Ovis aries: one gene and its partners. The protein of the gene in region 3 interacts with the protein of the main gene of each other region in a pairwise test. Links are inferred from orthologs where the notes say so. Each region holds a gene or a part of one and is shown on either strand. Other genes may lie near its edges. The genes, in order: PKP4, RAB39A, GOLGA2, NDN, PRKAB2, SCAF8 and RITA1.

What was found.
Region 1: the proteins of GOLGA2 (region 3) and PKP4 interact in binary tests that used the Homo sapiens proteins (3 or more experiments, as listed by UniProt). The two-hybrid records come from large-scale screens. The link is inferred for Ovis aries from reciprocal best matches to the Homo sapiens genes GOLGA2 and PKP4.
Region 2: the proteins of GOLGA2 (region 3) and RAB39A interact in binary tests that used the Homo sapiens proteins (3 or more experiments, as listed by UniProt). The two-hybrid records come from large-scale screens. The link is inferred for Ovis aries from reciprocal best matches to the Homo sapiens genes GOLGA2 and RAB39A.
Region 4: the proteins of GOLGA2 (region 3) and NDN interact in a two-hybrid assay, tested with the Homo sapiens proteins (2 studies listed by BioGRID and IntAct). The link is inferred for Ovis aries from reciprocal best matches to the Homo sapiens genes GOLGA2 and NDN.
Region 5: the proteins of GOLGA2 (region 3) and PRKAB2 interact in binary tests that used the Homo sapiens proteins (3 or more experiments, as listed by UniProt). The link is inferred for Ovis aries from reciprocal best matches to the Homo sapiens genes GOLGA2 and PRKAB2.
Region 6: the proteins of GOLGA2 (region 3) and SCAF8 interact in binary tests that used the Homo sapiens proteins (3 or more experiments, as listed by UniProt). The two-hybrid records come from large-scale screens. The link is inferred for Ovis aries from reciprocal best matches to the Homo sapiens genes GOLGA2 and SCAF8.
Region 7: the proteins of GOLGA2 (region 3) and RITA1 interact in binary tests that used the Homo sapiens proteins (3 or more experiments, as listed by UniProt). The two-hybrid records come from large-scale screens. The link is inferred for Ovis aries from reciprocal best matches to the Homo sapiens genes GOLGA2 and RITA1.

What each region holds. Positions count from the first base shown.
Region 1 is NC_056055.1:151,253,571-151,257,863, reverse strand, and holds the start of PKP4 (plakophilin-4), read left to right. Parts: upstream 1-1,493; 5' UTR 1,494-1,823; intron 1,824-2,121; exon of another isoform or gene 2,122-4,293. UniProt on the Homo sapiens protein: Plays a role as a regulator of Rho activity during cytokinesis. May play a role in junctional plaques.
Region 2 is NC_056068.1:17,177,965-17,181,983, forward strand, and holds the start of RAB39A (ras-related protein Rab-39A), read left to right. Parts: upstream 1-1,219; 5' UTR 1,220-1,380; coding exon 1,381-1,607; intron 1,608-4,019. UniProt on the Homo sapiens protein: The small GTPases Rab are key regulators of intracellular membrane trafficking, from the formation of transport vesicles to their fusion with membranes.
Region 3 is NC_056056.1:8,011,033-8,015,102, reverse strand, and holds the start of GOLGA2 (golgin subfamily A member 2), read right to left. Parts: upstream 2,801-4,070; 5' UTR 2,777-2,800; coding exon 2,696-2,776; intron 1,159-2,695; coding exon 1,036-1,158; intron 73-1,035; coding exon 1-72. UniProt on the Homo sapiens protein: Peripheral membrane component of the cis-Golgi stack that acts as a membrane skeleton that maintains the structure of the Golgi apparatus, and as a vesicle thether that facilitates vesicle fusion to the Golgi membrane.
Region 4 is NC_056071.1:620,230-623,642, forward strand, and holds NDN (necdin), read right to left. Parts: upstream 2,131-3,413; 5' UTR 2,043-2,130; coding exon 1,065-2,042; 3' UTR 501-1,064; downstream 1-500. UniProt on the Homo sapiens protein: Growth suppressor that facilitates the entry of the cell into cell cycle arrest.
Region 5 is NC_056054.1:98,147,487-98,150,986, reverse strand, and holds part of PRKAB2 (5'-AMP-activated protein kinase subunit beta-2), read left to right. Parts: intron 1-1,406; coding exon 1,407-1,573; intron 1,574-2,400; coding exon 2,401-2,494; intron 2,495-2,710; coding exon 2,711-2,831; intron 2,832-3,500. UniProt on the Homo sapiens protein: Non-catalytic subunit of AMP-activated protein kinase (AMPK), an energy sensor protein kinase that plays a key role in regulating cellular energy metabolism.
Region 6 is NC_056061.1:79,150,992-79,155,116, forward strand, and holds the start of SCAF8 (SR-related and CTD-associated factor 8), read left to right. Parts: upstream 1-1,325; 5' UTR 1,326-1,332; coding exon of another isoform or gene 1,333-1,644; 5' UTR 1,645-1,869; coding exon 1,870-1,899; intron 1,900-4,125. Other genes in the region: actin nucleation-promoting factor WAS-like, read left to right, coding at 1,333-1,644. UniProt on the Homo sapiens protein: Anti-terminator protein required to prevent early mRNA termination during transcription. Together with SCAF4, acts by suppressing the use of early, alternative poly(A) sites, thereby preventing the accumulation of non-functional truncated proteins.
Region 7 is NC_056070.1:61,268,829-61,273,098, reverse strand, and holds the start of RITA1 (RBPJ-interacting and tubulin-associated protein 1), read right to left. Parts: upstream 2,801-4,270; 5' UTR 2,540-2,800; intron 2,367-2,539; exon of another isoform or gene 2,225-2,366; intron 1,577-2,224; 5' UTR 1,513-1,576; coding exon 1,211-1,512; intron 1-1,210. Other genes in the region: ATP-dependent RNA helicase DDX54, read left to right, coding at 3,099-3,272. UniProt on the Homo sapiens protein: Tubulin-binding protein that acts as a negative regulator of Notch signaling pathway.

The DNA of each region.
Region 1 (4,293 bases), on a different chromosome or scaffold from region 3:
TTACTACAAACTGCGGAAGACACTTTCTAATTAAGGTACCACTGAACAATTCTTGTTTATTTTTGTAATTTTTAATTATGGCAAGATAACAAACAGTAGCATATTATCCAACTTAAAATTCAGGACAGTAGAAAGACATATGTGGCTTGCACACACATTAATCTGTTGCTCTTAACAAAATATTTGTAATTTCCAAAATTCTATCAGTTTTTTCATACAATATGGTCCCTTCAAATTGAAGGGCAGTAGCCTAAACATAGTCTTCTTAATTAAAAAAATAGTGTAAAAATGGCAAAATCAACAAAAAGAAGGAACATAAGAATATCAGTGACTATATCACAAAACAATATAATGCTTAAAAGCCCAGTATGTTCACAAAGTTCTATTTTAATAGCTAGTATCTAGATATGAAAATTACTTACAAAAAGCAATCTGTATTTACGAACTAGCAAAGTGACTTTAAATGAAAGCAAAGCACTTGTAATTAAAGCTCAAGATTTTCTATGTGACTCCATGTCTCAGTTTATTTATCAAATTTAGAGGCAAACTTGAAAATAGGCAGAAAACAAAATCTACCAAGTGTAATCTATTTCCTTTACTCCCTTGTGAAATCATCAGAAGACATGAAGGATCAATTGCCTGTGTCTTGCCCCACCTTGTAAACTCTTAGGGGAAAGAGCATGCACCTGTCAAGCTTATAGTGCAGAATGCACACACAGATGGGCGTTTAATAAATATCCTTCAGTGGAGAGATTAGAGGTTTTCTTTGGGAAGCAGGGAACACATCTCATGCACTGACTAGATGACATCCATCATACAACACGTCAGCCTGTTTCCTCATAAAAATATCATCCAAAGGAAATCTTTGAATGATGTTTAGTCTCCTTTTAAGTCTTTAGACCCAAAATTTTGATGCAAGATCCACCCCAGGGAAGGGGGAGTGGTTGGGAAGAACAAGTAGATTTGATGTGGGTCAGTGACGTCAGGAAGAAGCAATGATTTAAGGGATGGGGTGCAAACTCACCTGGAGAAGCAGAAGGTGCACACGTGTCAAAGGCCAAAGGGCAGAGGCCGAGGGACTCCCTAATCGCAGAAAAAGTGAAATGCCCACTCCCAGGTTCTCAAGGATTCCTCTAGGGGCTCAGCTGTCCCTGCCTTTGACGCGACGGACTAACCCTTCCATGCACAACTGGGTTTGACAGGGAGACAAAGCGAAAGCTGTCCCAATTTCAATCAGCACTCAGGAATCCCTCGGTAGCTCTTTCCTCCACCCCCTCCCGCACCCAAAGCCAGAGACACCTTCATCCTCACTCCCCACCTTCTCCAGGCCCTCTCGCTCTTAACAGCATCGGTCTCTATGGCGACCTGAAACCTCAGTTCCCATTGGTCAGTTCAATATGAGGGCCGGTCCAATGGGAAGAGCCAGCCTTCTCCTTCCGACCAATGGGGTAGGCAGGGAGCAGGTCCGGAGACGGCGGCGTGCTGACGTTCCCGGGAGCCTGGTGCTGGCTGGGCAGGCGGGCTGAGTGCTGGGCGGGCGGCGGCGGCCTCTGGGCAGTAGAGGGGGCTCCGGGGCTGAGTCCGCGTCGACGCCGGCCGCGGAGGCGGCACCATGGGCAAGGGGTAGCGGGGCAAGTTGGCCACCGCCGCCGCCAGGGGTGGTGGGAGAGCCGCTTCGGGGTAGGGGGCGGGTGGGGGAGGGAGGGGCGGGCAGCCGCTCGGCCGCGGCACTTTTTTAATTTTTTCGAGTGCCGCAGCGGCGACCCCACCGCGCCGATGTTCCTGATCCCCGGAGCGACGGCGGCTGCTGCCTAACCTGGAAAGTAAGTGTGCGGGCTTGCGGGAAGGCGCGGAGACTCCGGCTCACAAGACCCCCGGCCCTCGCCCCCTCGGGCCGGAGATGGGACTTGCCTGCGAGGGGCGCGGGGAGGGACGGGGACGGGCGCCTCCCTCCCGTTACTCCGTCCTCACCGCCTCGCGGCCGCCTCGGCTTTCCTGCCCCGCCTCGTGTTCCTGCCCGCACTCGCCTGCCTGCTCCCCTCCCCCCGGTAGGCGCACAAGTTTCACCCTCCATTTGCTTTTCCCGGTGATTACTCTTCCCCTGGTCTCCCCTACACGCAGCGCACGACCCCACCCCGCATTGGCCTTTTTGGATCTAGGGCCCGCAGCCCCAAACTTGAGCGCCACGCCGAGCCCTCCTGGACGTCTGCCGGGAGGCTTCCCCTCTCCTGCCCCCCTGGTACGCCGCCTCGCGCCCCCAACACCCCTGGGCGCCCGTCTTCGCGAACCCCCAGGGCGGCCCGTCCTTCTCTCCAGCCCCAACTCCTGCACCTTGCCCCGCCCCCCCCCTCCCACGTCCCTTCTGCCAGTGCTGTCTTGCGTTTGCCCGGAGTCCCGCGCTTCTAGCTGGTCCTGCCCACCCACCCTGTCCAGTGCGCCCCTCTCTCCTCGCCGCGTATGCTCACGCTCCACCCCTCCCGGTTCTCTAGCCGCAAGCTTCCCCGGCTGCCCTCTTGCGCGGCCGCTTCCTTCTCTCCCTGCCAGGAGTTGAAGAGGAGCTGCGGCACCCCCAGGCGGATAGAGTGTCCCTGCCCGCCGCTGGCGCTGCCCACCCTTCTCTCTTTCCCCCTCTACCCGGGAAGCGAGGGGCTGAGCGGTTGGGCCGAAATTTGGCTGCGTTGTTGGCTGAGTGCGACAAACAGCGAGAGCGGGCAGTAGAGGCGCCGCGGCGGCCGTGGCCGCGCGGGGCGCAGCAGTAAGCAGGTGTGTGTGTCCGGGGGGGACGCGCACCGCGGGCTCTTCGGCTGGCGACAGACTGTGCAGGAATGCGAGGAATGCACCGGGAGCATAGTCCACGCGGCCCGCCGCGGCAGAACTAGAGCCTTCCCCAGCCCAGCTCTCGCTGAGCAGTCAGAGGTCACCGGAGCATCTTCGGAGCTGGTGAGCCTCTCTCCACTCCTCTCCTCCCCTGGCTTTTCTCCATGCGGCAGAGGGCGGCGGAGGGGAAGCGCGGCAGTTCTGTCGGGCTTCAGCTAGTCTTTTCGTCTGGGATTTTGCTGCATTGGTCTCCAGGACCGTGAATTTCGTGCCGGTGGCGGTATAGCCAAGGTTATTGATAATTGCACAAGGTTCTTGGCAACTTTGGTTTACAAGGTTTAAATAGTGCCTGGATTTTACGAGGTTTTTTTTTTTTTTTTTTTTTTGATCTGCAGGAAAGGGTGCCTAAGGTTCTTTGAGTAATGAGCTTGCAGCCAACGTATTTTGGCTCTATCAAAAAAATGTCTGTTAATGCTCATGGACGGGGATGTTCTTCAGGAGATAACTTGAATGCATCACTTTACTGTCATAAAAATTGTATTTTTTTTCTCGAAAATTGTAATTATTTTCTCGCATACTGGGCTGTGTTTAGACCTCTTACAATCCATAATGAATAGAAACAGAGAAGCAGTGTTTGGTCAGCGATGGGACAGATAGGACTGTCTGGTACAGTTAAATTCGGGGCGTGTCGGTTACCATTGGAAGTAATGGGGTACTACAGATGATGTACATTTCAAGATGTAATTTATTAGTTGAGGTCGCAGTTCTTTCTCTATTTTTGGCACCGAGTTTGAACGTAAAATAAAAATACAGGTCTATGACTTTTAAAGAATGGTGGTTATTTATGTGTAAAATCCAAAATGATTAATTAGTATATAGTTTTGGTCAAAATTTATTTTCCTTAATGCAAAAAGCAAATTTTTGACAGAAGTTGCTTTGCTAGAACAGGACTTAGATTGTGTTATTTTAAAAGGTAAAGTAGAAGACCACTTCTCTTTTTGAATGTAGTGTATTGCTGTAGAAAGTATTTAATTTCCTTTCTCGTACCAGTGATACAGTTACAAAAAATGGTAGCATTCTCTCATTCTCATCAACATGAGAACAGTTGATGTCCAAAATAAGTATTTCTGGATTTGGAAAAGTATACTATGTGTGCTTTTATTTGACACAGTTTGCTTTGGAGGTTGAATTTACTATAAGCCTCTCCATGCTTGGCTATTTTGTATCAGATTCAGGAACATAGTTGATTGTCCAGCTGTCTACTAACGCCTTCTGTGTAGGGATCAAGGGCATTGAAAAGTATAAAATGAGAGCCTTTCATTTGGTTAAGAACCCGTGGGGAAAGGAAACAGAGAAAAGAAAAAAACTTTGTGATGGATAAAGTTGTGTCTTTTGGCTGCTACATTGTTTTCCAGGTATGTTCATAGTAAGTGTGCCTTCTAGTTTAGAGGGTTGGCTCTAAATTAGAATTAATAA
Region 2 (4,019 bases), on a different chromosome or scaffold from region 3:
CCTGGTTTGGGCAGATTCCCTGGAGAGGGAAATGGCAACCCACTCCAGTCCTCTTGCCTTGCAAATCCCATGGACAGAGGAGCTTGGTGCAGGTTACTGTCCATGGGGTCGCAAAGAGTGGGGCACGACTGAGCGACTTCACTTTGGAAGTACAAACAATTGGAAAGGGGGAGATTTGAGGGATAAATGGCATGAAATAAAGACTACTTTCAAAACAAAAGTTTTAAAAAGAGGATTAAACATATCCTTGAAAACAAAACTTATTCCTCCTAAATAAGAAAGGAAGTAAAGCTGAATAACAAAAGTATAAGTTTGGATGTGGACAAGAAAAAAGTTGAATTGTTAAAATTCTATTTTAACAAAAATTCACTTTAAAACTGCTTAACTTTTAAAAGAATTCATTATTAACCAGTTTGAAGAAAGGCATGAGAATCTCGCCAGAATTCAGGTGTGCTTTGTTTACTCAGATTCCTGACCAGAAACAAGCTAAGTAGAGACCACTATGGGATTTTTTCCGACATATAGAAGAGACTGAGAATAGGAGCTTTTATGAACATCTCACCGTTTCATTTTCTTTCCTTCTCTCCTTCCCCAAACAAAAGGGCCCTAGAGACGATGGAGGCGATTGGCATTTTTCTCATTCTTCCGTAGTAATGAAGGCAGTGAGGAAGAGACGGTGGTGGCATGAGCAATGGCCAAAGTCCTTGCTTGAAGCATCCAGAACTTGCTCTGCAAATTTATTTCAACCTTGCTCTCAACTCCTTCATCTTAGAACACCTGGGAGGTGGCAGTCAACAAGGATGGAGAGCAGAAAGCCGCGAAAAGATATCTGGTTCAGCAACAGTGGTCACAGAGCTGGTCAAACCCGATGAAAGTGGAAACCACATTTTCAAAAATCAGAGCCGGAATCTGACGAGCCCGCCCTGACGCCTGTAAAAGAAAATGATTTTCACTTTTCATTGGCTGACCCTCCCAGAGTTGAGACCTTTTTTCATTTTCATTGGTCATTGCCTCTGTCACGTCCTTTCACCACACCCAAAGCGCCCAGTGAGCTTTGGGGAAAACTGATTTACAGAGGTCGGGGGCGGGAGTTCTCAAGCAGCTAGACTATTCCGCGCCCCCCGCCCTAGTCCGCCCCGCCGCTTCCTCCTCACGGCCCTACCCCGCCCCCTGGCCTGAAGCCACGCCCCTTCCCCGGCCGGGCCCCGCCTCTCCCTCCAGAGAGGGCGGGGACCTGGTGGCGGCCGCAGCCGCAGGAATATGCTGGAAGCCGACTGGCGGGCGCTGGGGAGGTGCTGAACGGACAGTTCCCGCCGCTTTATTTGCCCGGCGGCGGGTAGGAGGGTGGGGCGGCCTTAGAGTCCGCTGGGCACGTGAGCGATGGAGACCATCTGGATCTACCAGTTCCGCCTCATCGTCATCGGGGACTCCACCGTGGGAAAGTCGTGCCTCCTGCACCGCTTCACTCAGGGCCGCTTTCCTGGTCTGCGCTCCCCCGCCTGCGACCCCACCGTCGGCGTAGACTTCTTCTCCCGCCTGCTGGAGATCGAGCCCGGCAAGAGGATAAAGCTGCAGCTCTGGGACACGGCGGGACAGGAGCGGTTCAGGTAGGACCCCGGGCGCTGGGACCCTCCCCAGGGACCGCACCGCCCCCTCCGTCCTCCTGGGGCCCCCTCCCTAAGCGTTGGCCGCACCGGCCCGAGTCGGGAGCAGCTCTGGCCCTTCCCTCTCGAAAGTGCAAACACTCCATTCTCGCTTCCCCTTTGCCCCTCCTCTTCCAGGGACGACTTCCTCCTCCGCAATTTCTCACTTCTTTCTTTGGCTTCTATTTCCTGCGCCCCCTTTCCGTTTTTCCTTTCCCGCCTGAACCCAGGTCACCCTCACCAGCTCCTCTTACCCAGCGCTCTGGCCCTGCTGGCATTTTAATCCCCAACTCTTCGGCTCTCCTGCTGCCTACTCCCCAAACTCAGCGTCCCTCGCTGCGCACGCCCTGACCTGGCCACCCTTCTCCAAGCTCCGCTTTTCCTCCTCTGACCGAGCAGCTTCCCATCTATGCGGCCCCGGAGAACTGCATAGAAGGATTCCCAGATTCATGATTGATGCGTTTAGCTTCACAGCAAGCAGTGCTCCAGCCCAGATTACAGCATGAGCTCATTGGGCACCGTGCAGACGGAGATGAATGCGGTAATGGTCTGAACATCTCACAGCACCGAATGTGGTCATCAGAAATACAGGGCCAGGACCCGTGAGAGTGTGTCTTGCACAGCAACCAAGGACATAGACACAACTGAGGAGTTTTTGTTTCATTGATATTGTTTTTTAAGGATTGAGTTGTCTTTAGAAGTTTGTCATCACTGGTGCTTTGATGGAGAAAAGAGAGATGTACATACTGAGATTTGTTAGGAACTTTTCCTTTAATTTATTCATAATAAGTACTTAACGTTCCAGGGTGATAATAGATCAGAAAATACTTTTCTACATGGAGGAGGAATACAAATAAATAGTCTCATTCTACATGCTCATTGAAACCCTGAAGGATTTCACAAAAGTGACTGCCAAATAAAAACTAAATGTAAATTGTATGCATTTCCTAGATATTTAAGATGGAATCAGATATGAGGCACATTTAAAATTTTTAGGATTCAAGAACTTTTTTTTTAGAGAAGGGTAAGGGATCTGATATACTGTAGTGTTTGGGACTCTTGTAAGGTTCTATTATCCAATGGAACTCATTAAAGCAAACATTTGGTAGTCTTCTGCTTTTGGAATTGGTACTTCTTAACCATACTTCCCAAACATGGCTCCCCCTCACCCCATCCAACACCCATTCTGAGTGAGATCAGCGTACTTCGCTGAGAAAAAGAGAAAATAAAATAAAATAATTTTAAAATAATTTGTCAAAATCTAATTCCTCATCTGTAAAATGGAGTCATTATGATCTCTAAGATTCATTACAGTTTTACCATTGTAAGGTTGACAGCAAATTCATTCACTTGTGATCTCAGTCAGAGATGAACGTTAAGATATTTCATGGTCAGTAAAAAGCATTTACTATAGCTCTTGCTCTGCCCTCTAAAGTGAAGTGAAGTTGCTCAGTCATGTCCTACTCTTAGTGACCCCATGGACTGCAGCCCGCCAGGCTCCTCCATCCATGGGATTTTCCAGGCAAGAATACTGGAGTGGGTTGCCATTTCCTTCTCCAGGGGATCTTCCTGACCCAGGGATCGAACCCAGGTCTCCCACATTGCAGGCAGACTCCTTACCCTCTGAGCCACTAAAGTGAATATAGTGAAAACATGTTCTTTATACTTTAACTTCTATACCGTAACTTTATATCTTAAACTTCTAGCAACTACTGATAATTAAGAAGTATAGGTAGTAAAATCTTCTTGAGTCTAAAACACTTTCCTTAAAAGTAACTTTTTAAAAAAATTAATTAATTTATTTTGTGTTGTTGTGTTAGTCGCTCAGTCGTGCCCAACTCTTTGCAACCCCATGAACTGCAGCCCTCCAGGCCCCTCTGTCCATGAGATTTTCCAGGCAAGGATACTGGAGTGGGTTGCCATTTCCGTCTCCAAGGGATCTTCCCAACCCAGGGATCAAACCTGGGTCTCCTGCACTTCAGGCAGATTCTTTACCAACTGAGCTACAAGGGAAGCCCCTAATTTATTTTATTTTAACTGGAGGCTAATTATTTTAAAATACTGTGACAGTTTTTGCCATACATTGAATCAGCCATGGGCGTACATGTGTCCCCCCATCCTGAACCTTCCTCCCACCTCCCTCCCCACCCCATCCCTATGGGTTGTCCCAGAGCATCGGCTTTGAGTGCCCTGCTTCATGCATCGGACTTGCACTGGTCATCTATTTCATATATGGTAATATACATGTTTCAGTGCTATTCTCTCAAATCATCCCACCCTCACCTCCTTCCACATAGTGCAAAAGTCTGTTCTTTACATCTGTGTCTCTTTTGCTGCCTTCCACATAGGATTGTCATTACTGTCTAAATACCATAT
Region 3 (4,070 bases):
GTCCAATGGGGGGATCGCTACCCCATTGGAGCGGTTAAGGTCGGACACCAGCACCTCCAGAATGTCCTGAATCTACAGGAGGCGAAAAGGGAAAAACAAGGGCAGGGGAAAAAGAGAAAAGTGGCTTAGAGAGGCAAGAGAGTCAAGGAAGGAAGAAGACACGGGTTGGGGCAACGGAATGCTGGAGAAGAGAGAAAGGAGTCAGAAGGGATCAATACAGGCCTGGGTCATTTTTCCAAGTAGCCACTTGCTGCCTTGCCAAAGGCAGAAATCAAGGGAAACAAACAGATGGAGAAGTCCCCTGAACAATGCAGTCACATAGCTCCTCAGATGAACAATGCAGCTCTTAATAGCTTCTTAGACCCTCAGGCCTAGACTTTTAAAAACCAGACTTCAGAAACAGGGTCCACTTGAATGAAGTGGCGGCAGAGGGGCTACAGCTAAAAAATAAGCTTTAAAGGCAATAATCTGATCCACCAGTATCATTTTACAGATGAGGAAACTGAGGCCCAGGGGAGGAAGTGATTTTCCCAGGGCCACCCAGCAAGCTGGTGGCAAAGATGGTCTTAAAACTCAGATGGTCTCCTAATCCAACTGCCTGAGGCCCTCTCCTCACCACACTCTGGGGCTCTACTGGGGCCTCTAAATGGAAAGTCTGAGGGCAAGCAGCTGCCTGGCTTTCCCCATGAGGCTGGGGAAGATCACCAGAGCAGTTAAGTCAACTAGCAACTACTCTTTATTGAAAGTCTACTCTGCACCAGGCCCTGTTTTAGGGGATTATAATAAAAACGACGACAATCTCATTTCAACTTCCTTGGTGTAAGACAGTATTACCCCAATTTTACTAATGTGGAAACAGGGATCCAACGAGCTTAAACAATTTGCCTAAAACCATATCCCTTGCAGAGAGAAAGGGAGAATTCAAACCCAAACTTCTTAGCCAATATCTGACATTTCTTCCACAATCTTAACCACTACCCTCTATTGTTGCCCCTTGAGTGCCTCATCCCCGGAAGGCGGTCAGGCAAGACTCACATCCTCAGGTGATGGACAATCACCAGAAGTGGTTGTCTCAGGGCTACTGCCATTCTTGATCTTTCTTTTTTTCTTAGCTCCTGCAGGAACACCAGGGCTGTTCTTCTGCTGATACTCCCTTAACTGTAAAAAGGAAAAGCAGTGAGGCTCATGAGAACTATACGCCCCCTGGATCCACATCCTACTTTACAAAGTTTACAAAATACTCTTTGCCTTCTAATTTAATGCCACAACAACCCTACAAGGGCTGTCGTCCTCAATGACTTGAAATGGACTGATAATGTGGCTAGGAGCAAAAGGTGGCAATGAAAGGCAACAACGGAATTTAAACTCAGCCTTCTGACTCTGAGTTCTGGGATTACAACATCAATCAGCAGCTGCTAGGGGGCAAAATCAGCAGCAGCAGAGGAAATGTAATCATTTGATCAGACATCAGGGTCCCTTCTTCCATCTCTATTAGAGCTGCACACCAGTACTTCTCAAAATTTTACATCAATGTATCCTGATGGCAGAAGGTAGAGAAGACACACACCCCTAGTGATTCTGGAAACATAACCGAAAGAGGACAACCCAAACACATTTCAGAGAGAAGTCCATTATAATCATACAAATCTACGCAAATGTCATCCCTACGTATATTAGTATAAAAGGTTTTTTCTCTCTCAAGAAAATCAAGCAAAACTGATCCATCAGTCCCATATTTATCCTGTGGCACTTGGGCTGCCCCACGTTGAGGTGATGATTTGTGAAAGATTCCCCGTTGTGAAGTTCAGTTTCCCTGGATGTGCTCCTCAGAGGAGCACTGAATGCTGAGTGACGGGCCCACTAGTCTCAGAATCATGGAAAATTAGAATGTGAAGTAGAAACTTCCGATTAAAAATGTGAAAGTCTCTCTGGATAGAGACCTGGGAGAAAACCAAACTAAACCAAACACCTTCTCCCCATGGCCACCCAGAAATACTGTCAATGTTTGGAGATCACTGGGGGAAGTGTAGGCTTTTTACATCAAACGATGGGGGTACAAGTCTAGAGGTGAAGGAGCCTGAAACCCAGGTCCGATCTAGGTCCCATATCCCCCCGAGTCTCCTTTTTCAAGCTGGTGCCGGGACCCAGAGAGACGGGAAAGGATGTGAAAACACAGTGGGAACTGGGTGGTAAAATTTAACACCGAGTTTCCTAGGCACTAATGACAGTTCCAAGGGGCATTATGACGTAGCCACACGGCACTGATCCCTAGCAACGCCCGAGTAGCCGCTCCGCGTTGAGTCGGGGGGCGGGGGGCGGTTGATGGGGGGCGGGGGGGAATGCAAAGGCCAGGACCGAGGTTTTCGGAGTCCGGGAGTTAGGGAGACCAGGGAGCTGCGGAGGTGCGGTTCCGGGCGACAGGAGACGAAGGCCAAGCCTGGTGTGGGAAGCCCCGGGGGTCACCGGCCCAAAGTCACCTGGGGGTGCCGAGTGAAGGCGGCGGAGACTGGGCAGCCGGGGGGCGGAGGGGTAGCGGGGGGCGGGACTGGCTGCGAAGACTTTGTTGGCGGCGGGGGGGGGGGGGCGCCAAGGGGCGCCGAGGGGCTCACCCCGTTGCCTTGGAGGCAGCACAGAAACTCTGGCCATGGCCCGGCCTTCGGAGGGGTCAGGGAGCCGCGAGCCCGCACGTTTTTACCTTTTTCTTGGCCGCAGCCAATTTGCTCTGTCGGGTTTCTTCCGACATCCCGGGACGGGGCGGGGGAAGGGGGGGCCACATCAGCACGATCCCGTCAACCTCTGCGGAATCGCTTCCGGCAGCCTCCGCGCCGCGGTGCCACTCAGCCCAGAGAGGGCGGCTCCGGGGCGGTACTAGGAGGCCGCGGTGTGTTGGAGTGGCCTCAGTTCTCTAACCCCATTGGGTAGTGGGAAAGATACGGGGCGGAGACGCACGGCTAAAGCCGCCGCTTCGCCCGAAAGAGAGGGTGGAGTCACAAAAAAAAACACTGAAAGCGCAGCCGCAGAATAAGCGGCCTGTCCTGCCCACCTCGGCGGAGAGGACTGAGCCGGCTCTCGCGGAGTGCGTGCGTAGCTACGCTTTGTGACGTTTCTAGTCTCCGTCACAGGATTCCAAGTACCTGGCGGACCTGAGGAGACTCGTTTCCGTCCTCGCTCTGGACCCTCCTTCTCTGCAGCGCCCCCCGAGTCGGGGGCCCCGGACGCCAGGGCTGAGGAGGTGGGCAAGGAGCTGATAGCAGGGGGAAAGCACATCTCTTCCCAGTCCCTTTTCGTGACACCCCTGTAGCTCTGCCTGAGACTTTCTCTCCTCAGAGATCACTTCCATAGACGCACCCCGCGCCCCCCCATCCACTCCAACACTCCTCCCTGTCAGAAACTCCCCTTTTTCGAGAATCCCTACCCTGATCCCAGAACCATTCTCTGTCCCCTTCCCAACCGGATCCAGTCTGGGTTCACAGCTGTTCCTCCTCTCCACACCCCCACAGTACCCCTTTCCTCCCCAGGCGGCCTCTAGGTCCAATCAGACTTCTTCCCTCGGCTTCCTCTGCAGGATTCAACCAGGACTTTCCAAAAGTTGCGGCGGGGCCTTCCGATCCCCTGTGAGTATGTAGCCTGTGCCCCCTCCCTGCCCTCCCCCCTGCATGCTGCTCCCAGCCCTTCCCTCCTTCCCTAACAGCGGCTGACCCACCCCCCAGCCCTCCTCGGGGTCTTCCCCCCAGCTGACCTGATTCCACAGAGAAACTCCAGGTCATTTCTCAGTCCTTCCCCGTCATCTTTTCCTCCTGCCCGCCAGGCTTCAGAGAAGAAACAGCGTTCCTGTCCTTTGTCAGGGTTACCCCAGACCCTACAAAGGGGCTCTGTCTCTCCTCCTCCGTGACATCGCCACAAGTGGTTGGCTGGTTTTGTTCTTTTCACACCACCCTCCTTCCCTCACCCATTCCACCCACGTGGAAACCACTCTCATTCCCTCAAACACAGGTGCTCTCTCCTGCCCTACAGCACTTGCATATGCTGTCCCTTGTGTGGAATACTTTTTTCCAGCTTTTTGCCAAACT
Region 4 (3,413 bases), on a different chromosome or scaffold from region 3:
AGTCTGGGTCCAAACCCTAAAACTAAGCCTCTCCTCCCAGGAAGCCTTTATGATCCAGGGAAAGCTAATTATCTGCTTTATTTCTGTATTTCCTCCACGGTGCCTGCTTCACAAGGCTATTGTGAGGATTAAAGAGAGAAAATATATGTAAGGGTTTAGTACAAGGCCTCTCTTAGTGCCCACAAAAGACAGCTATTATTTTTTAGAAAATATGGAAAATGTAAGAGGGGCAATTACTCTAAATATCAGCATTTGTTATTTCTATATAATGTGATTATGACCCCTGTTTTGGTTTTTGCACTTCTACTTGTCAAAGCTTTGATATGAACTTGTGAATTCCTTCCTGAAAATAAAACTATGCCCTTTACATATTTATGAGTCATGATGAGTACTGACATCCCCGTCCTATTAGATGAAATAGTTATATCTGTATACTTTGTAATTCCCATTCCAAACCCATAATATTCTGTTAAGAAGATAAAGTACACTTTTTCCATGAATGACTGTATCACAAGAATCTTTAATGTTTAAAGTTTACTCATGGTGAGGTTGTATCTGTGTTTAGTAAAGTGTGCCCACATTGAGTCTGTTTCAGTTCACATCACCAAACTCCACAGGGATGTTTCCCGTGCCCAGGCAGAGCACAAAGACAGGGGTCAACTTTTCTCTTGGTTAGGCCAGCTTTTCTGGGGAGTTTTTCCAAACTCTGCAAGACCAATTTACCCCAATACACAGCCTCCGTCACACGTAAAAGAATATGGAAAATGCCTCAGTGTATTTCATAAGTTTAGCATGTCTCTGGTACAAAAAATTCAAGAAAGGTAGCACAAAAGCGAAAGCACCAACTGAGCTTAATTACAAACAACCATGCATGAATCCTATACACTAATATTACTGAAATGAACACAACATTGCATTAAGAGGTATAAAAGCACTGTATGGAAAACTTAAAAGTTACACGTGAAATACTGCACTGTAGATCCTGAATACTCTAACGTCCCACACTCCCACCCTTCCTCCACCCTGGTGAGGGGCAGAAAACTTCCATCTGCCTCCAGACCTTGCTAGTCCTCGGAGACACTGTTGCGGGGGCAGTGGGCAGTGGGGTGGGCCTCCCGCAGGGCTCTAGCCTCTTCCAGAGCCTCCCTGTAGCGGGAAGGCCAGGCCTGGGGGTTTTTCTTAAAGACCCTGGCCAGGAACTCCATGATCTGCATCTTGGTGATTTCGCGGCTGGCACGGGAGCCCCAGAAGAACTCGTACTCAGGGGGCTCGACATGGGGGACGCGCTGGTACTTCAGGTAGTTCTGCTGGACGAACTCCTCGGTGATAAGCTTTCTCACGTCTCCGAAGGTGGAGTGTTTCTTCCAAGGCCTCAGCCCCAAGATGCGCAGCACGTTCCAGACTGCACTCTCTCGAGCGCCGCGACCCTTCACGTAAATGAGGCTCAGGATCATCAGCAGGAGGCCCGTCATCGGCATGCGGTTGCTCAGAGCGACCCTGTCCAACTCCTCTGGCTCCAGAGCTTTGACCAGCGAAAACTCCATGGTGTGCAGGCTGGTCAGCCTCAGGTGCAGCCCGAACACGCGTGCGAGGATGAGGCTGGTGCGCCGAAGGATGCTTCTGCACCACTTCTTGTAACTGCCGATGACATCCTTCACCATGTCTGGGAACCAGATGATCATCCTCTTCTGGTCCTTGACCAGCACGTACCACATGAGCTCGTGTGCCTTCTGCACCAGCTGGGCCGGGGCCGGGGGCGCCGGGCTGAGCTGACTTGTGCTCGGGGCCTGGTGGGGACGGCCTTCGTCAGCGGCCTGCTGCAGGGCCTTCGGGTCTCCCTCTTCGCCTGGAGCCTGGGAAGGCAGCGAGACCAGAGGGGCATCAGGCGGGCTTAAGGGAGGGCGCTCTGGCTCAGTGAGTGTCGCGGCCTGAGACCCCGGAGGAGAGGGCCCCCCGGTAATGCCGGGGCTGCCGTGCACCTCGGAGTTGGAGGCCTCGGCCGCAAAGTTGGGGTCGCACACATCCTTACTTTGTTCGGACATATCTGTTCGGTCTCGCAAGAGCAGGGCCGCCGAGTCCGAGAGCTCTTCGAGTCTGCTTTCCCTCCGCGGACTCCTGGAGAGGAAGTGCGCATTGCTGCGCGCGGCGCCTTCCGCAGAGGCCAGGCAGGGCGGGGCGGCGGCGGGCCGGGCCAATGCGCCTGCGCGTCCGCGCGCCTGGGGCCCGGCAGTCGAGTTGGCGGGCGGGGCTCCTGGTGGGCTGCAGGAGGGGGCTAGGAGGCCCCCAGTAAGCATAGAGGGTCCGCTAGAATATGGGCCTCAGTGATCACACCCCCTCCCCAGGTATCCTGTTATGGCTAAGGAGGAGTTCTTGAGGAGGAGGGGAGGGAGATGGGTGAGCACTGGACAAGGAGTCAGTTTAAGGGACAGATGGCAATTTAAGCTTCTGAAATGCTGAAACTGAACTTTCTTAGGAAGCATTTGATTAGGTATATCCAAAATCAAGTTAGAGATCAATCCAAGAGTAAGAACTAGGCTGGTGTGTCAACTAGGTTTCAGATCAGTGTGAGAATTTAAACTGAGAGAACAGCCAGGATTGCCCAAGAAAATATGTCAACTCTGAAAAAGAGAAGTCGCTTAGTCATGTCCGACTCTTTGCGATCCCATGGGCGTAGCCTACCAGGCTCCTATGTCCATGGGCTTTTCCAGGCAAAAATATTGGAGTGAGTTGACATTTCCTTCTCCAGGGGATTGAACCCAGGTCTCCCGCGGTGCAGACAGACAGTTTACCCTCTGAGCCACCAGGAGAACTAATTGGACAAATTGGAATTCTGAAGAATAACAACAAAAATTCATTGATTTCCTACCGTATGGAAGAGTTTTGAACAAGAAATGCAGAATGTTGTCAATCCGAGTGTGATCGAAGTTCTCTTGAAGGCAATATAATAATGACTTTGTTAGTGTTTTAATGGTCATTGATTTTGGTTTTTCTATTCCATTGGATAATTTTGATGTAAATTTTGTTTCATTAGAATCCCCTCACACAAAGATTATATTAGCATAGACTCATAGGATGTCTTTCCGCCTGTTTTTCCAGGACCTTCCTTTTCTTTATGACTGTTTCAACCTCCGCTTTTCTTCCTGTGGAAACTTCACCTTCTTAGAGCACAACATCCCCATCTTCCACAGATACTGAATAGTATCACATGCAAATCCCTCCCAAGATACTTTTTTTTTCTTTTTTAAATTAACCTAGATCCCCAAAATTTTCCCAGATAACAATTGATTTGAGATGTAACAATTGGTGGTTGTATATCAGTTTTCAAATTTAGAAACCAAATCTGCAGTTTTGTTTGAGACTGTCAACAAAAACAAAGTTGACAGTCCCAGAGGTGCATCCTTTAAAAAAAAAAA
Region 5 (3,500 bases), on a different chromosome or scaffold from region 3:
AAAATGGAGATCAAGTTTTTCTCTTAAGTCACTTCCTTATATAATGTGAAAGTTCCTTCAGTTCTCATTGTTTACTAAGGATTTTGTTGCCACTAACGTCTTATACTGTAGTTTTGAGGAATATTCAGAGACAGTATGGAAGGTTGACTGCCTCAGCCATTTTGAAAGTAAAGCGCAAGTGAATAGTCTTTTTTTTTTATCCCACATTATTTTATTTGGTATTAATAATATTTTGGCTTGATACCATAAAGACTTATTTACCAAAGTCATTTAAGCCACTCTAAAGTGTGGGTCAACAAGCTTTTTCTGTAAAGGGCCAGATAGTAAATATTTTAGACTTTGTGGTAGACCATACAGTCTCTGTCACTGATATTCAGTTCTGCCATTGCAGCATGAAAGCAGCTATAGAAAATGAGAAAGTGAATGAGTGTGGCTATTTTCCAATGAAACTTATAAAAGCATCTGGCTCACTGGCCATAGTTTGCCAGTTTCTGTTCTAAAGGATGGTAATGAAAATAAACTTGACTAAGGAGTCAGTTTTCTTCTGCAACCCTACATACCTCATTTGATATGGGAACCACTTTTTTAAAGGAAACTGTGTTTTTGATCCGATGCTTCTTGTAGCTCCACAATTTTCATCCCTACTCCTGAAAATTACTAGTATAAGCCTGACATGGATGAATAAGTAAGATTTCATAACTATTTCTCAAAATTTAGGAAACCAGTGATCTGATTTTTATGTATTTAATGTCTTTTTATAACCTATTAACTAAAGAGGAAATTATGAATTATTTAAGAATTTTAGTATCTCTAATTTCTATTACAACTGATAATTGAGATGCTTATATTTACATATGAAAAATACATGGCTCAGGACTTCCTTGGTGGTCCAGTGATTAAAACTCTGTGCTTCCGCTGCAGGGGTGAGGGTTTGAATCCTTGGTTGGGGAACTAAGATCCTGCATGCTGCATGGCACAGCAAAAGAAAAAAAATAGATGACTAACTTAATTATTTTTTGTAGAACTGTGCTTTATTTTGATATTTTTCTCTTAAGAGATAAGCATATCATGATTGTCTGCCTATGAGTTAATCTGGTGACAGGAAGTAAGATTTTTTGTTTGTTTGTATTTTAAGGGACATCCCAAGACTCTGAAAGGATGAGTGATTCATGCAGACTCAGAAATTAAGCTGTGATTTGGGCAGACTTTGGGCATAAGCCATTTGACCATTTGGGTCCTAGATGAGTTTCTTTTCTATAGTTTTGTTCAAAATTTGAAGTAGTTGCTCATTTCAAGACTTATTAATCCTTATCAGAAATGTAGCACCCCTCTCTGCCCTAAGGAGGAGAGTGACCTTTTCAGAATTCCAGGGACACAATTTAGGGATGACCTAATCCTTCTTACAGCTCCCTGGGGACAAAGAGTTTGTATCATGGCAGCAGGATTTGGAGGACTCCGTAAAGCCCACACAGCAGGCCCGGCCCACTGTTATCCGCTGGTCTGAAGGAGGCAAGGAGGTCTTCATCTCTGGGTCCTTCAACAATTGGAGCACCAAGATTCCACTGATTAAGAGGTGAAGACAAGTGTCTTGGTTGAGTCTGCTGGGTCCAGGAGTAGAGACCCAATTCCCTTTCTCAGGAGAGAGACTTGGCTGGACTACTCCTCTCCACCTGCTAGGGACTTTCTCTAGAACATTTTTTGTGACCAGTAACTATATCTGTGACATTTTTTTTAACCTTATAGTGAGTCAGAGATGTTTTACCACTTAGAATGTCATTGCCTCAGAGGGACTTCCAACAGTTTTGGAGGTATGTTCTTTAGGATTGTGTTAATAGAAGTCCTTTCTATGCTTGTGGGAAGTCTCCCGTAACTGCCTGAGTCCAGTTGCCCTGACTTCTGCACTAAAACAAAACACGTTGTAAAGTTCTAGGTAGTAATGTTATTTGTTGCTTGCAGAGCAACAATGAGTTATGTAACTGACTATGGCCCTTTGTATATAGGTAATTTTCTAGAAAATGCTCACCAAAATGTGGAAAGAGTACCTTGAGGCACTTCATATCCTGAACCTACTTGCTATCTTTTTTACACTCCTGAGGGATCTGTTCTGCTGAAGCAAAATAGTTGTACTAAAGTGAAACATTCTGGGGGATTAATATCTTTATTGTTCTTTTTCAGATATTAGTTAAAAATTAAAGTTGTTAGGAGGGATAGCAAATACATGCTCAAGGGGATATAGAAAAGGAGAATGGGTTTATAAATTATTTTTCACTCCAGGGGGTGCAATCACTTAGGAATGTGGGAGATCACTGGTATGATACTGTGATTGCCTCATGGTTTTACATTTATCTTCTGTCTTCTAATAAGAATTTAGCCTGTTTAACTTTCTGTTTTCTTCTGTAGCCATAATGACTTTGTTGCCATCCTGGACCTCCCTGAGGGAGAGCACCAGTACAAGTTTTTTGTGGATGGACAGTGGGTTCACGATCCATCAGAGGTAAGACCTTGACCTCCGAGGGTAACCACTGGCTTAACAGTCTCCTTTTAGCTGTTATTCCGCTGGGTGTCAGATATCATTGCTGTTGGATTTCCCTGTTGATAAAAGATGGTGGTGTCAAGTATAATCTCTTCTAAAAAGAGGAGAGTTGAATGGATGAGATGTATTTGAAATGGGGATTCATGAATTTTTTTTTTTTTCCATTCACTGTTTCAGCCTGTGGTTACCAGTCAGCTTGGCACAATTAACAATTTGATTCATGTCAAGAAATCTGATTTTGAGGTGTTTGATGCTTTAAAGCTAGATTCAATGGAAAGCTCAGAGACATCTTGTCGAGGTAATTTTGTAGTATTTGCTCTTTCTTGATCTTTCCTTTCTTAAAATGCATGTTTCTTCCCAAGAGTGGTTTTTGTTTTTTTCATTTTCGACTTAGGAATCTTCCAAATTGTATGTATGTTTCTCCTGTAAACATTTAGGTCATATTCTCAGAGAATGAAATCTGTGTAATGTGTTTGATTTCACAGTAAGTGAAAGTAAATATATTTGATCTACATTAAATTTACATTGTAACCCAACACACACATCACACAAACCAGTAACATGTCTTGCACTATGATGTTTGCCTTTATTACATGTGAAGCACTTTATTTTCTACTTTATTCTTCTTTTTATAAACGACTAATGTGCTGTGATCTATAGTTTAAAAAGCTATTTCTAATAATATTTCAGTTTTTTCATTGACCTTTGACAGTATCAACTAGCAGGAGCTACTTATGTCTCCTGTGCCATGTTTAGCTGCCTCAACTTAATCCCGCCAGATTGATAGCTTAGTTGGCAGTTGTATATTTAATAGGCCCTACCCATATGGCAGTCTTTGGGGAAAAAAGAGTTATAAAAACCTCAAATTTCTTTTGTGTATATGTTAACTGAAATTTTTAAAGTTTTGGGTTAAAAAAAAAAAATCCTCAATAGAGGAATAGATCTCTATGCTTTTGTTTCTCCCAGT
Region 6 (4,125 bases), on a different chromosome or scaffold from region 3:
GTCTTAAAAAAGAATTACCCATTCTGGCTAGTCCGGAGAAGGAGGGAGAGGGACCAGTTTAGGAGGCTACTGCAATTGTTGGCAAGAGATCACAACGGCTTAGCCTATGAGGATGGGAGGCAAAAAGATCTGAGATTTTTCAAGATGGAATATAAGCTCTTCTGGTTTTCCATTTTACCTTCTAAGTAGCCAGCGGCCATATTAAAGTTGTCAGTGGAGAAGACTCATAAAAACTACTAGGCCCTACCACGTCAAGAAGGGTCTGTCTTCCTGTTTCACAGGGCTCTGGGCTGAGCTCTTACCTTGGTTCCAATAATCCTATAGAGAAAAATCCCGCAGTCATCTATCTCCCTTTCCTTTGAAGAGCAGCAACTGCTGAAAAACGACTCCCAGCAAAACGACAGTGTTTGGGGTTCACTGATAACACACCTAACTTTCCACTTAAATGCTCGCTTTTAATTTGGTATCGGTTATCTCACATTGCATCAAGTGACAGAGGAGGCATTTTGCTAGCAGCATCTCCTACTTCATCTAGAAAAAACTGTATTCACCATCCGATTCTCTGCAACCTCGGGCAAAATTCCTTTAGAATAATCAATCGTTTATAGAGGACGGGTGCCCTTTCGCCTATGCAGATCTCGTGCGTTCTGGGCACCGCTTCCCGCCGCGCAGACAAATGAACTCATTGTCTGCACCACGCCAGTCCCCCCCGGATTTTATGCAGCGTGCATTTCCTGCACCGAGAAGCTGGCTGCAGGCGTGCTTCCCTCGTTCCCCTGCCCCCGCCCGAATCTCAAGCTTTTGTTTCTAAAGGTTTTCTCCCGACGCTATTAAAAATGCTTGCGCACATCGTTCCCAAATAAGTGACCAACTAGGAAGTTTTCTGGCTGTTAACCTCGAGGCCAACGTCCAGTAAAGTTTTGAAAAAAAAATCAACTAAACCTCGTGTAAAGAGGCCAGTCCCTATGGAAACAACGGAAACGCGGATATTATAGCCTAAACTTGCCGGGAGGGGGGTGGGGGCGGGATTTGGGTTTTTCTTAAGATCAACGCTTTGCAGTGGCCCCCTCCCCCCGCAGGGCTCTCCAAGGGGCTGCAGCCCGGATTCCCGCAGCGGCGAGGAGGTGGTGTGTGGAGGGGACCGGGCGGGGGTTGGGGTGGGTAGAGCTGAGCCCGGCCTCCCGGCGGCGACGCTCTGGCCCGCCCGCGCGCGCGCACGCTCGATGGTTCCGCGCGACGGCCCGGACCCGCGCGGTCCCGACGCCAGGGGGCGCGCTGGCCGGCGCCGCGGATCCCCGAGCTGCGCGGCCCGACCCGCGTCCGCCATATTGGATGCCGCAGCCGCCGCTGCCAGCGCTTCCTCCTCCGTCTTCGCGGCGCGCCGCTGGTTCCTACGGGCCCCGAGCGGCGGGGAGGCGAAACAGGAGCCCGCCGGAGGAAAGAGGAAGGAGGGGGTGGAGAGAAGTCGGGGACCGGGGCTGGAGGGTGGAAGCCCGAGACCGAGCGGGGCGGAGAAGAGAAGGCGCCGCGGCCCGGCCCCCCCCCCCCCGCCCGCCGCCGCCGACCCGCCCCGGCAGCGCCTCTGTTCCCCTGCCCGGCGCTCCGCCCGCCCTAGCGGCCATGCCGGGGCCTCGCCGCCCCTAAGGGAGAGCCCTTCCCCTCCAGTGCTTGCCTCGCCTTTCCCCTCGGCCCGGGGGGTCGCAGCGGCCCGGCCCCCCCCCCCCCGTCCCCGCCGCCGTCGGCGCGCCCGCCCCCTCACACCCCCCACCCTCCTCGCGGCGCCGCCGCCGCCCCCGTCTCGCTCTCCCCACCCAGTGCGGTGGCCGCCGCCTCTTCCGCCGCCGGGCTCCGGGCCTCCGCACCGACAACATGGAGGCTGTGAAAACCTTCAATAGCGAGGTTGGTATTGCAGTCTTCGCCTCTCCTCCCTCCGACCCGCTCCTGCCCACGCTCCCCACCCCGACCTCCGACCCCCGACCCGGGACAAGGCCCGCCGCGGGAGGGCTGGGCACGGGCCCGCAGGGCTTTCTCCAGGGTGGGGCGAGCGGCGGCCTGGCCGTGCCCGTGGGGGAGGGGTGTTGCTCCGTCCCGGCGCCCCTCCCCCGATCCCGGGGTGGTGGTGGGGGCGGGGGAGGTTCCGGTGTCTCCAGCACCTACTCCCGAGTGGCTGCGGGGGTGGAGGGGGAGGCTACCGGTTGGGCCCTCCCCCGGAGGCTCCCGACAGGTCTCTCTGCGGGTCAGTTACGCCGAGGCCTGGCCCGCCCACCTCTTTTCCTGGGCCTGCGGGATTTTTAACTTGGAGGCCAGGCATCCCCGCTTCAGGCCTTCCCCCGGTCCTTAATGAGGCAGGCATTGATAGGGGTGGTAGGGTTTGGAAGTGCTGGAAAAGCACCTCCTGGGATGATCATCTGTGGTCACATTGCAAGCAGTGTTTGTTTATAACCGAGATATCGTTGGCTAGGTAACCTGCCAACCGGGGACTTAAGCTTAAGGGGGATGGTTGGTCGGGAAGCGAGGTTATTCTGCAAATTTTTCCTGTCCTTACCTCCCCCCCAACCCTCCTCACCGCCAACTCTTCTCACCATCACGACATAAAGCAGGAGAGCTGTGCATGCCGAGAGGAAAGATGCGGGAGAGGCATTTCCCATGGGCTCCTTCACGTGTCATACATAAGGCTAGATTTTAAATAAGCAGCTGTTCGGTGTTCACTATTTGATTGAGTTTACTAGTCTGAAGGGAGACACGTTTTGATAAAAATAGTCGTGTCCGACTCTGATCCCATGGGCTGCCAGGCTCCTCTGTCCAGTCAAGATTACTGGAATAGATAGTTACTTCCTTTTCCAGGGATCAAACCCGGGTCTCCTGCATTGCAGGCAGCTTCTTTACTGTCTAGCCACCAGGGAAGCCTAAAATATTTTAAAACCTTTTAAACACTCTAATATGAATAGGCTTAATTATATTAAACAAACATTTAACAAGTAGATGTCTGCACAGCTTATCCGTACTTGTATGCCTTAGATACAAATATTTTAATATGTTAATTAGATTTGCATCCATTTTAAGAACTTTTCATGTGGAGGCACTAATACTCTGTTCAATATAGTCTAATAGTGATAGCCTAAACAATTTTTCTTTTCTTCCCTGCTCCCTCCCTCCCTTCTATCCATCCCTCCTTCTTTGGAGAATTAGCATTTGAGAAACTTAGAAGAGGCTAAAAGTTAGATCTAACAGTCATGTGAATTAGACTTTCCGTATTAAAGCAGATAGCCGTGACAGTTATATGAAAAAAAGCCTTTTTTTGGAAAGGATTTTCATTTGAATACAAGGTTTTCTTTACTGCTTTTTGATACAGATTTGAGTGTAAACTTCAGAATCTTTTCCATTTTATTTATGAATTTATAGCTGATAATTTGTGTCAGATTATAAAATCTGCTTTCACTCCTTGTCCTTAAAATCTGAAATAAAAAATAAAGATACTATATGTTCCAATTTATTGTTGATCATTTCACAGCTCTGCAGGGGAGGGGGGGAAAGTCTGTGTAGCTTTTTTGTTTGCTACATGTAGTGTTACAGCACTAAGTAGTGGTCTTCATTTAAATTATGTATAAAAAAGGTTTCTCCTATTTCCTTCCAATTATTTGATTTACCCTAGACCTTTTTGATGGGTGTCTCCTGTTTATTTTGGGGGTTCCTAATATGTACCCTGCATTCCCAGCCCTCCCTGCCATGTGATAGATACGAACAAGTGGTCAGTAGACTGTGGTTGATCACAATGGAGCAAGGAGGAGTAGAAATGTTACAGTTGGTTTTTTAAATTTCGCTATTGACATTAAGGATAAGGAGCCTAATATTTACATGGCTAGCTTGATGTTTCAGCTCTTATCTCATCTACACAAGAACTTGAGATTTGTAGTGGTATTCCCACTGTAGTTTATGGAACACTGTCTCCTTTCCCTTTATTTTTTTTTCCCCTTATATATTTTCAAAGAACTTAAACCATCTTTTACTCCCTTGTTTACTAATATTATGCTTACACTTCTGGAAATGGGGCTGGTGCACAGCATAGTTACAGAATTGAGGAAGAGAAATACATTTTGAACAAGATTGAGAAGAATGTACTTTTTA
Region 7 (4,270 bases), on a different chromosome or scaffold from region 3:
TGACTCAGTGGTAAAGAATCTGCCTGCAATGCAGGAGACTTGGGTTTGATCCCTGGGTCAGGAAGATCCCCTGGAGGAGGGAATAGCAACCCACTCCAGTCCTCTTGCCTGGAGAATTCCATGGACAGAGGAGCCGGGCAGGCTACAGTCCATGGGGTCGCAAAGAGCTGGACACGACTGAATGACTAACACACACACAAGCGAGGCCACAAAGGTGAGGCTCTAATCCAATAGGATTTGTGTCCTTATAAGAAGAGGAAGAGGCACCAAGAGTGTACACACTCAGAGAAAAGTCCATGTGAGGACCCAGGGAATAGCTGGCCATCTGCAACCCAAGGACAGGCTTCAGGAGAAACCAACCCTGCTGGCATCTTGACCTTGGACTTTAAGCCTCCATAACTGTGGAAAATCAAACTTATGCTGTTTAAGTCTATAGTATTTTGTTATATATAACAAACCTGATTGACTAATATATTAGTCTTCCATATCTCTGTTCAAGACACTGATGACAATCAATAAGATAGAGTCCTGTGGCCTCCCTCGAGGCTGAAATTCATTGAAATAGTCTAAATAATCCCTACAAAAATAACCACTGGCATTAGATTCCATTTTTCTAACTTGTTGGTGAAAATGAAGCAAGAACCATTTTCAAAATGACTTGCTTCAGTTTGGAATCACCATATCTATGTCATTTGATGGATCAACCACACTAATAATCTTATGCAAACTGTTCTGTGACTTTGGATAAATCAAGGGCTTCCCTGGTGGCTCAGAAGGTAAAGAATCCTCCTGCAGTACAGCAGAGCCAGGTTCAATACCTGGTTTGGAAAGATCCCCTGGAGAAGGAAATGGCAACCCATTCCACTATTCCTGCCTGGAAAACTCCACAGACAGAGAAGCCTGGCAGGCTACAGTATATGGGGTAGCAAAGAGTTGGACACAACTGAGCGACCAACACTCTCTCTCTCTGTTGGACAAATCACCTCACCCCTCTGGGCCTCAGAAGTCCAGTCTAATGCCATTACCATTTATTTATTCCTGAGTGTCGGGTAACTGTGCCAACCACTGTACATGTCTCATCCCCTTAAGTCTTCTCAATAATCCCACTGGGTCCCACCTTCCACTGTGAGGAAACGGGCTCAGAGAGGTCAAATTGCTCGCCCAAGGTCACACAGCAGATGAATGGCAGGGAATCTTCCTATCCTATTACCTGTATTTGTTCTTCTTCCTTGGTGTGAGGGTTGGGGTGCTGCCACTGGAGGAGGTGGACTCACAGCTCCCATTGGCCCCCAAGGCCTGAGACACCCCTGTCCCCACTCCTCTGGGTCTGTTGGCCTTCTTCATCCACGGTGGGTCAAAGTCTGGTGGTGCGGGCCGGGTGCCTGCAGGGCTGCCAAACAAAGTCTCATCCACGTATGATGGCCTAACCTTGACCCGGTAGCCACTCCGGCCACGGTGCTGAACGTGGAGGGTCTGCATCCCGCTGATGGCCATCTCCACCGGGGTCTTCATGCTCTCTGTTGTCCTGAGTGACAGCAGGGGTGCTCTGCTTGCCAGGCCCTACATCCAGGGCTCCCTGTGAAAAGGGGTCAGGGTAGCAACCATCTGTCATCAGAAAAGACTGGCAATCACTTTAAGGGCCCATCCCCAGGGCAAAAAGGTCACATTCTCCCTCAACCAGTCTTCCTCAAAGGGGAGCTGCCAATCCCAGGGAACATTTCAGAAATTTGACATTTTTTGAGTTGTTGTAATGAAGGGGTGGGCGTCCCTGGTGGCTCAGATGGTAAAGAATCCACCTGCAATGTGGGAGACCTGGGTTTGATCCCTGAGTTGGGAAGATCCCCTGGAGGAGGACATGGCAACCCACTCCAGTATTTTTGCCTGGAGAATCCCCATGGACAGAGGAACCTGGCGGGCTACAGTCCATGGATTCGCAGAGTTAGGCACGACTGAGTGAGTGAGCACACAGAAATCACGGGGACAGGGGTGCTACAGATGAATATTTAATGAGTAAATGCGCATTCCTAGCATACTGGTGTGTGTTCAGTCAATATTTATAGAACACTAGGGGAATGAACAAGAGATTTGGGCCTCTGCCTATTCTGGCACCACACAGAAAATCAACTATGCTGATGAGGAATGGGGGAAACAGGGCAGGTTTCTATATCTTGTACATATTTATCGGGCAGAAATAATAACCAGCATTGATCGATCCCAAGCCTACCTCCTGCAAAGAGCTTTACAAGCATTGTCTCATTTCATCCTCTCAACACTCCTGTGAGGTAGCTTCCATTATGTTCATTCTATAGATGACAAAACTAAGGCTTCAAAAGGTGAAGTTGCAAGTGTCAGTCACACCTATAAAGCTAAAACAGTGGAAATTGAATTTGAACCTGATTAAGGGTCTAAAGCTCCTGCACTTAACCATTCCCCTACTAGGGGATCACACCCAGTCCTCCAGCTGCCCCTCATTCACTGATCCCCAAGTCCACGTCCCGGAGATGTCCGATGTGCCCGCATTATCGAGTTATTTTCCTACCTGAGCATCTTGGTTCGCTGACGTCGGTCGTTACCGTCAGCGTCCCCTGCTCCCAGGCCTGGACTCCTTTGTGGGGCGCTCGGGCATCGGAGGCGCGCGCCGGACATCCGAATCGGCAGCTCTGAATCCCGGGAGCCCGCGACTCCGGGAAGTTCCAAGGCCGCCCCCAGCTCCAACCCCAGACCGGGGTACGGGGCGGAACGACTCAGAGCTGGCAGCCGGGCCCTAGCGACGTGTGTTCCGCGCGCGCGGACGCGCGTCAAACAGCAACCCGTGAGTGACAGGATGGGGCGGGGCGGCCGGAACCATTTACTCCTCGGGGGTGAGTTAAGGCCCCCGATTCCGGACGCCCCCCGGAGTTCCCCAAAGCTTCGGAAGGGGTACCTTCCGCGCCAGCGAGGGGAGTGTGTGTGTGTGCATGTGGATCAAGCCCCTGGAGGCAGCAGAAGGAGCAGGAACGCAGCCGGGGCCGCGTGGAGGCGTCCCCCGTGCCCCCGCCGCGCTGTTGGTATGTCCCTATGGGCTCCGCCCCCTCCCATTTCCCGGCGCCGGGGCCCGCATGGCTGCCGGCACGCGCCCGGCGGCCGCCCCGCGGTCCGGAGCTACCATGGCCCAGTGGAAGAAGAAGAAGGGGCTCCGGAAGCGCCGGGGTGCGGCGTCCCAGTCCCGCAGCAGCGACTCGGAGGACGGCGAGTTTGAGATCCAGGCAGAAGATGACGCCCGGGCCCAGAAGGTAGGGAGCGCAGGGCTGGGATACACGTCGGAACCCGAGCTCCGCGCGGTGCCCGGCAGTTCCCCCAGCTGGGGAGCGGGCACGGCTGAGGATGGGGAGAGATCGGCTGGCCGGGGGATCAAGGCAGGACCTCCGGCCTGAGCACGTGTCCCAGGACCCTCCACACCTGGGGTCTAGACTCCCGAAGCCTCTGTGTTGGGTAAGCTCGGGGCCTGCGGGCCTTCCTGGCTGACGCTTGGTCTAGCGCTTCTCATTGGCTTCTTCCTGGCCATCGAGGGCGGGTCCTGGTTTCCATTCGCCCAATGAAAAGTGCGGGTGCTGAACATTGGACTTTTGAGAGTTTGGGGGTTCTTCGGCAGACAAATTAGGAGAAGGCTGCACCTCGTGGCTTTGAGACAGCGACGCCCCCAAACCTCTGGGAAACTAATAATAAGTTAAACTCGCGTCTATTGATCACTTACTGTGTGCAGGCTCCGTGCTAAAAGCCTTTATAAGCCTTATCATTTAATCACCACATCAACCCTGCGAGCTGAGTGCTTATCCTCATTTTCCAGAGAAGGAAACAGAAGCCTGGAGGGGTGAAGGAACTTTACCAAAACCTCATAGCTTGTGAGTGGGAGAGCCAGGATTCAAATCCAGGACTGTATGGTTCCAGACCCTGTGCTATTTCCACTACTGAGTGCTGAGTGTATGCAAATGGGGGGGGGGCGGGGGGAGGGGGAACAGGTGTGAGCCCCAGTGGAGCAAAAGAGCTATAGCCTGTTGTTTCTCACAACCTTGTGCTTAGCGGGTGTCTGGCACAGAGAAGACTCTGGGTATAATAGATGAATGAGTGGGGGTTTATATGAAGAGAGCCCTCTCTGCTCCTCAGAAGTAGGGACCAGATGGGGACCTTATTCCATCTCAACCGAGCCTCACACAGAAGGTTCTCTATAACTAGGGACCAAGGCACAGCCATGTGTTCAACACCTTGTACTGGCTGTGGGGGAGTACACATG